Danio rerio: one gene and its partner. The protein of the gene in region 2 purifies or fractionates together with the protein of the main gene of each other region. This does not show direct contact. Links are inferred from orthologs where the notes say so. Each region holds a gene or a part of one and is shown on either strand. Other genes may lie near its edges. The genes, in order: tfdp1a and e2f3.

Region 1 (4,548 bases), on a different chromosome or scaffold from region 2:
AGAAAGAAATAAAGTAGTGACTGCAGGTTGAAGCAAAGAAGTAAAAGTACCGATACTGCACTAAAAATGTACTCAAGGGACAGTAAAAGTACACATTTATAAAACTTCTTGGTAAATTACAATTTCTGAGAAAAATTACTCAATTTTCAGTAATTTGAGTATTTGTAATTAGTTACTTTACACCACTGCTACCTAACTGTGTTTATGTACTCTGTTTAGGTAAGAATTCGACATTTATAAATGTACAGCAGGGGTGCTCAAACTTGGTCCTGGAGGGCCGGTGTCCTGCATAGTTTAGCTCCAACTTTCCTTAACCCACCTGCCTGGAAGTTTCTAGTATACCTAGAAAGAGCTTGATTAGCTAGTTCAGGTGTGTTTAATTGGGGTTACACCTAAAAAATGGAGGAAACCGTCCCTCAAGGACCGGGTTTGGGCACCCTTGATGTACAGTATTTAATTCAAATAACTTCTTCAAATATACCCACCCAGAGACCTGAAAATGATAGTGACACTAAATGGTGACACCCTTTTTGAACACTTCTCCATTAGTTATCTGTATAAAACATACTGTATACAGTCCTGTCTGTGGGGGCAGCATGAATACTGATAAACATGTTACAGTCCTAAAACCAAAATGTGACCTAATGACTTAAAGTTTCAATTTTATATTTTATATAATGAGCAAATAAAATAGTCTAATTTATTATTTTGCTGATTTGTACATTATGATTTGTACTTCATAAATATTGACTTGTGCATAATACTAAACGCCTCTAAACGTATTTTATGTTGTTTTTTATACATCTTTTCTCAATTATTTAAAATGAAAACACAATTTATTAATCGTAACTTGGCTAACAAGCCAACAAATACACTTAAAGAGCTAAGAAAGAGTTTACCTTTTCCTTTTCATTTCCTAAATACAGTTAAATGGATACCAGTGCACTATTTTGCACCACAAACCTGTAATAAATTGATATGGTGTCTGTATCTAAGCTTAGGTTCAAATGTTTAGTACTTTTACAGTACTGAGATCTAAATAAATAAACAGGATGACTACCGTGCAAAGGGGAAGCGGTCTAATTGAAAATATAACCCGAGAAAGTGATATGAAAGCGGTAATTAGACATTTATACACTGGTAACAGATGTTCTTATTGTATTGGGTGGTATTAATAAACATATATTAGACATTTAATACACATGAACCATTTTTTATTCTCTTTATTTACATATATACCTACGCACGCTCCACCCTCAGACGCAGTGGGTGGAATCCAGTATAATCAACCAATGAGAACATGTCAACACAGCTTTTGTAGCGCTCCGTCTAATCAGAATTTAGCGCGGGCGTGTCTTTTGTAATACGTTTTTTCGACGTCACGAGCATCATCGTCCAATCGGGTTTCCCGTGGCGTCGACACCGCCAAGCTCAGTTTTACAGACCTAGAGAGGGAGCAGGTTCTACTGTGCGCTCCTATTCATTCTACGCTAGACAGTTGAAGGCGGATGCAACCGACCGTAAGTGAGACCAGGGGGGGCTCCGAGTCCACACAGACAGCTTTGAGCGATGTTTTCCGTTTTTATATATCACCAGTGCATAAAGAAGCTGTCTTTTATCTGCGCTTGTAATAATTTAACACAAAATAAGTGCGTTTGACAGCAAACTCGTTCTAAAACAACAGCGTGCGACTGTATGCAGTTGTACATCTGCTATCTGAGGCCGTTAGTCTGTTAACCATCAGTCCTGATTCATTATCATATAGGTGAAATATTAAAACTGTCTGTCTCAGATGGCTTGTGTTAGCCAACATGCTAAGCCATGTCAAGTGTTTCTGTCAGTGTAGTGCAATAGAAAATCGTCCCTGATCTTTACCGATCGTACAAAAAAGCATTGGCAGGCAAAACTGGACGTGTAATAAACAATAGTAAGGGGATCGTAGATTGATTATGATAAAGCTGTCGAGATGACCTCGATTTGAGTGGAAGTTAGCTTGACGTTACTAGCTCGCCTGGTCGCTAGCTTAACAGTTTTATTTTAATTCGCTTTAAAGCGTGTTTTAAAGACTTTTGAAACTAAAGAAACAGTTGTTATTGTTACTATCGCATAAGCACGAGGATTTTGTTCAATTAATAAGTAGTTTTTGACGACAGAAGGACCTGTCACCTCAGCTAGCATCACTGCATGTTGGCTTTGCTTTAGCAACCATGTAAAATGGCTGCCAGGCATTAAACCAAAACCATCCTGTTTGTTCAATTAGTTCATGAATGTTTGCAAATAATTATGTCCCATTATGAACGGCTATTTTCCGTTTTTAGAGTATAATCGGTTGTTTAACTTGTGTTGCTGTTGAAGCCAACGAATTCTGTGACCCTCCAGCTGAATAGGTGTTGTGACTGTCAACTGTGTTGCTTAATAATGTGGCCGTTTATATACATATATTTGCTTAAGATTATTCTTTATTAAACTCTATATAATATATATTGATAATTTTAGTTCTTTTATTTGGAATTATTTATAGGGATTTACAGTTTGCATGCGTCTTGTATGTGCATGCTTAAAACATCCGCATCCATTTTGAGGTTTATGAATGTGCCATGATCTAACAATCAAACATCTCCCAAGTGCAAGCTCGTTTCAAAAGCACGCTCATTCACCGCACATGGGTTTTTATTTTTCATATTATTTGATTTATTTTTGTTTCCTGTTTGAGAGATGGGCTTCAGACCTCCTCTTCCTCTGTCCTCTTGCTAACTGGCTATGCCAACAAAAACAGCACCTAAGAAGGCAAAGGGCTTCAGGACTGTAAGTTCAGAGGAAAGTTTACAGACTTCATTTCCAGATGGCCATTTAAGTCCGATTCGTTTGCAAAACGGTACGAGCACATGCACAATACCCGATCTGCTCGCATTTAAACACGAGAAGCACGTTTTGATCACAATTAGGACCAGGGTTCGTTGCAAAACGTGTTTGAAAGGCTGCTAGCTAACTGGGCTAACACGCTTTATAATAGTGCACACTGCTTCGATTGTGCATTATGTTTGGAGCGGAAAAAGTAAACGAATGAAGCAGATTATCGTTCTGCTTGATGCGTTTACACGCTTTTTTATTACTTGAGACACTTGATATTTTTGTATTTAAGGGCCCTTTCCTTTTGCAAGAAAAGTTACTCAAAACGACAGGAACTGTTGCATATGGATGTTTTTCAGGATATTGCACGAGGGGTTTGGGTGTAGGAGTTCGAGATTTGATGTTAAAGAGATGATACGATTCGTCGAGGTCTTTGTCTGGTAATAAAAGCTGCATGAGAGCTGGCGGGCCTCGTTTTCATCAACCATGACAGTGTTTCCAAACCTTGTGAGCGTCCTACCTAGACAGCATTTTAAAAATTGCGACTTCTTTAGCAAACACCGAATCGAACTAACTTTGAATTCACACAGTGCTTGAAAGTGTTTGGGTCTCATCTCAATACACTTGTGATGTTTTAATCCACATGTAAATAATATCATCAAGTAAAACATCTTGGCTAAACACTGCATTGAGATGTTAATATATAAACATTCGTGTAAACTTGTATTGTTTAGGCTTGTGCTAAAGATGTAAGGGTGTGTTCATTGACACTTGGTGGGTTTGGTTTGATTAGAATTATCTCTGGTGCAGTTGCTCTGTTGGATCATTTGAATAAGTGTGAACGCTGCCATGGTTGTGGACCAAACAAGCAGACCATCACTGCTGGAAAAATAGGTTTTGGCATGATTGCGATGCAACACAATATACTTCCTTGCAAACTAAAACATGTCACAATATGTGACCACAAAAAAGACAGTGCACTATCATACATATATTTTTAGAAGAAATACTGCTTCTTATGGTTGAGTACAGGTTTTGAAAAGGAGTCTTCTTGCAATCAAAGTTCTTAATGTCACAGTTTTGACTCCTTTAGCCTTCATGTTTTATAGGCTTTCCACTATAAGTGTGTTTAGCCCAGCACACAGCAATGTTTTGGATGTTCTCTTACAAAATATGTAATTTTTGTATTAAATGTTTATTTCTCTAACACTTTTACATTGTAGATTGTGTCAAAGCAGCTTAACATAGAAATTCTAGTAAATTGAAACCGTGTTAGTCTGGATTTCACATTTGAAGTTCAGTTCAGGGTGGTTTAAATTTTACTACTGAAAGTCCAAACACTGAAGAGCAAATCCATCAATGCACAGCTCCACAAGTCCCAATCCAAGCAAGCAAGCCAGTGAAGATGAACAAACTTCACCAATTGACGAAAGTGAAGGAAAAAAACCTTGAGGAACCAAGCTCAGCTGGGCTCCACCATTTCTTTTCTGACCAAACTTTTTTTTTTTAACAGTTTTTGTTTTAACAGTTAGCAAATTAGGACTAAGTGTAGCATTTACTATTTTGACAGACCACACAACCCAACCAAGAGATCTGAACTACAAATGTGAACACACCCTAAATATGTTAACCCTTTTAAATTAAAACCCTCTTTTGATGCCTAGTTATATCCCTGTGATGAAATTTAGATGCGTCAAC
Region 2 (4,376 bases):
CATCATAAAAATTGTGGAGCAAAAGAATTAACTTAATACCTTTGGGAATCTTCAGTTTAAGAGCTCCTTTGCGACTTCGAAGAGTTTTAGCTGGCTCACTGTATTGGTGGTCTGTGATGTCGAGCTCCAGCCTCCTTTTAGCCTAAATTCCACCCCAGAAATAAATAAATAAATAAAAACTATACACACATGCACACATTACCAGCCTAAACCTGCTTTACATACATGTTAAAACCCCAAGTTTACACCATTAATGTGCATTAGGAACTAAATATATAGTAAAGTCAAAGTACTTTGAACCAAACAGAAAAACTTCATGTGGAAAGGATGGAAAAAAGACTAGATAAAAACAAATAGAATAGTATACAGGGTGTCACAGTGGCGCAGTTGGTAAAATTCGCTGGTTCGCACCTCAGCTGGGTCAGTTGGGTTTTCTGTTTGGAGTTTGCATGTTATCCCATGTTTGCATGGGTTTCCTCCAGTTACTCCAGTTCCCCCACAGTCCAAAGACATTGGGTATAGGTGAACTGAAGAAGCTAAATTGTCCAGTGTACGAGTGTGAATGCAAGTGTATGGGTGTTTTCCAGTGTTGAGTTGCAGCTGGAAGGGCATTCGCTGCATAAAACATGCTAATAAGTTGTTGGTAAAAATTACTAGATAAAAAAAATTATATATATATATATATATATATATATATATATATATATATATATATATATATATATATATATATATATATATATAAATAAAGCTAGCACCTTATACATCTCTAAAGCATTTTAAAAAGACTCATTTCACTAACAATACACAAACTAAAATGCACATGACAACACAGACACAGTAGAGGGGAGCAGTAAAATGGCTGTCCTCCTTTTCCAAAGGCTTAAACTCAGTGACCACTGAGAAACTAAGAAAGTAGCACCGACTACATGATAATTATAGATGCAGTCAGGATCTATTTTTTGCATTTTGCAAAAACACTGATGTCATCATTAAACAAGCAGAAAATACATCTCTCGCATGACATGCACAAATACACTGCATACATGAATTAAGCAACTACGAAGGAAATCTCGGTTTATCTAGATTAAGAATTTCTAGCTTTGCTGTTGAGTGTCTTTTTTTTGTTCTGTTTTTCAAACCATGATAGTTCTAATATTAAAAGGTCAGCTTTAGAGCATGAAATGACAACTGTTTTAAAATAACGCTATGTTTTTAGACATTTATTTTTTTAAACAATACAATATCAATGCTTTAAGTCCTAAAGATTATATTGTAAAAGTAATTTTGTGGAACAAACCCAGTTGTTAAATAAAGTCAATTTTATTGAATTAAAACATTTTCTTTTTAATCCAAACGTAATTTGAATTGCATTTATGCATTTGGTAAGATTAACATTAGGACGACCACAATTAAATATTTATTGTCACAATTATATGACTCTTACGTGATAATTTTTATTGTAGAATTTAAATTAGCCTTGCATGACTGCAATACAGCTCTTTTCTTTCCTTCATTAGCTTTCTACTAACGTTACACATCGTACTTTTAGTTAAAAGGTTGGCCATTTGTCAACTTTAACTTAAAGCAATGAAGTGAAGTTTAGTTTGAAGTCGTAATTAAATCATGAATTAAATGATCTTAAACCTATAAAACATATTAAACCACACATTAGTTTAGGTTTTGGAGAATATGGAAACCATCGAACCTACGTAGAAAATTACTTAAAGAGCTAACAGCAGTCATGAATTTCAGCACTTTATAACGATAAAAACAAGTTAGCAAAGCATTCAGCTTAGCACAGAGTACGCGAGCTCAGAAAGGACTCCATCCCCCATCCTAAGACAACAAACCAGGGCCTAGACTCACTAATTGAAGCTTTTGCACGGAAAAGCCAACTTTTACACAGATATCAGAGAACATCCACTCGATAATACATCACATAGGGTATGTATTATACACACAAAAAACGATTTACATCGGCGACTCTCGAGCTTTGACAAAAACTTTAAGAGGCGTGCAACTGCACAACCAAGCGACTTACAAACACTAAAATAATACAATATTGAAGTTGAACAACGACATACTGCACTGAAACATTGTTTAATACGAATACAGTCGTGTTGTCTTAAGTTATACTGCACAAACTCAAACGTTACATTGCGGAAATATGCGGCGTCTTCATTGTAGTAAACAATCATTATGCGTCATGCATATTTGGGGGGACATTTGGTTAATGTGCTAAATTGTTTAATAGCATGAACGTGCAGTTTAGTTCAGAATCTGCATAAACCTGCAGACTGAATGGACTTAAAGAAGCTCCAGCAGTAGCCATGATGACAGCAGAAGTAGGCTAAGTGGACTTAGCCTCACGACTTAACATTTACAGGATTGAACGTGCAACACTTTAACACAGAATTAAACCAAGTCATTTACCGGTGGTCGTCCTAACGTGGGTCGCAGTCCTGTCCCATGTGTGGATCCTTGTAGAGGAGTTGTGTACAAACTGTCAGCAGAAGCCTCGGGCACACAGCCGTTATTAGTGGACGGCGGTGTGTTTATTTGTATACGGGTAGCATTGGAATAAACTGCACACCGTCGATCGGAAACCGCAGTAAAAACACCGTGCTGTTCAGCTCTAACAACCCCTGTCAACATGACTTGTCCTGGGACCGAGGAACCCCCCTTTCTCATGATCCTCAGAGGCGCAGGTTCCCTTTGTCCCACTTGTGATTTGAAGCTAGTTTTCTACCAAATCCGGGCGAGTGGGTGTAAAATGATCATAAATGATGGTAGCGGACAGTGCTAGGAATGCATAGCTGTAATATGAGTGCAATTGCTAAAGGATAAAACACCCGATGTAAGCGATTAAAAAGCGATGCGATCTCGCTCTTGCTTCAGCGAAAAATGGCTCCAGGAAGCGGACAATGAAGTAGGGGATGAGGTTTACGCGCGAAAGGTCCTCCCGCGAAACTCAGATTTCCCGGGAAATTTTTGAAACGGATTTGCATATGTGAACTCATTCGCTAGAGGCAATCTATTTTCCGGCCTCGTGTGCTGACGTGTCGGTATAGTGGAGCCAATGAAATTCCACGATGGTATTTTTTTTTGTTTTTTAAATAGAGGTTTCTCCTCTGGAGGGTGCTAGATGTGAGACACATGCTGAGAGATTTAAGCCTAATAATCACAAAATTAGATCTTTAATCTTAAAAGAAAATATGTCTATACCATATATTATTTTTTTCACTGGAACAATATATTTAATAATATAAACTGGACTCTAGTATGGTCATTACCTCAATTTTTTTTTATTACAAGTAAGGCTAAAGACATATCATTTAAATTACTTCATAGAGTTTATCCCACAAAATTATTTCTACAAAAATTTAAAAGTGCATTAATAACTATTGTTAATAACTAAAATTGGAAAATGTGCGTAATATATTTGTATATAATTTGATAATTATGTACTTTCTCCACTGTTTTTTTTTTTCTTCTTCTACTCTTCTCCTTTAATTTCAATTTTTCCTCACTTATTTTATTCTTGTTAAGATATGTAAAGTGATTGTATTGTACATGCTGGTTCTTGTTAATAAAAAAAAATTCAAAATAAAAAAACATGCTGAGAGCACTGCATGAGTGGTTGGGCCACCTAGAAATTTCGCTAGACAGGGACCTTTGTGTAAACTGAGAGAAAAAGAGCATCAATATCATATAAAATCAGGATTTTTCATCATTACATATAATAATATATTAAAATTGTTATTTATAGACTGTGAAAACTTATTCTAATTAGCAAAATCTTATAACTTTATGGGCATTTTTAATCAAATATTGTTATAAAAACCTTGTTTTTAATTGTTATATAGTGAATCAAAAATAATGGGTCAATAGATAATTTCAATGTAGTCATGTCATTGGCCCATAAACATTTCTTGCTTTTAATCAAACTGTTTCATAACTGTAACAAGAGGCAATTCAATCATATGCTAAAACAGCTATCATGACATTATTTATCAATCTGCGTCTTCTTTAGCTTTAGACAAAACAATGGATAATAGGAAATATGTTGAAACCATTGTTTTTTGTTTACATCCTTCAAAGTGATCTATAGGTAGACAACAGGGAAGCCTTTAAAAACACTACTACATACAGATCTTAATTAAATCTAGATGGATACGAAGTTGACACTAATCTAAATAAGCTGCTAAAAAATTGCCATCAAATCATTTTAAAGGAAAAGTGCTGTGACTAGAAGCAAAGGTCTTAAAAACATTTATATCAACTGCAATGAAATGGACGTTAACTGTAATGGAATAAATATTTTAGTGATTTGCAGAGACATTTGAGGAGCATTTCTAGTTTCTAGTACTCAA

What was found.
Region 1: the proteins of e2f3 (region 2) and tfdp1a purify together in Homo sapiens (affinity purification with mass spectrometry; 3 studies listed by BioGRID and IntAct, with this or other methods). This does not show direct contact. The link is inferred for Danio rerio from reciprocal best matches to the Homo sapiens genes E2F3 and TFDP1.

The regions. Positions count from the first base shown.
Region 1 is NC_133184.1:36,641,756-36,646,303, forward strand, and holds the start of tfdp1a (transcription factor Dp-1a), read left to right. Parts: upstream 1-1,432; 5' UTR 1,433-1,520; exon of another isoform or gene 1,521-2,875; intron 2,876-4,548. UniProt on the Homo sapiens protein: Can stimulate E2F-dependent transcription.
Region 2 is NC_133194.1:31,758,787-31,763,162, forward strand, and holds the start of e2f3 (transcription factor E2F3), read right to left. Parts: upstream 2,957-4,376; 5' UTR 2,695-2,956; coding exon 2,437-2,694; intron 143-2,436; coding exon 40-142; intron 1-39.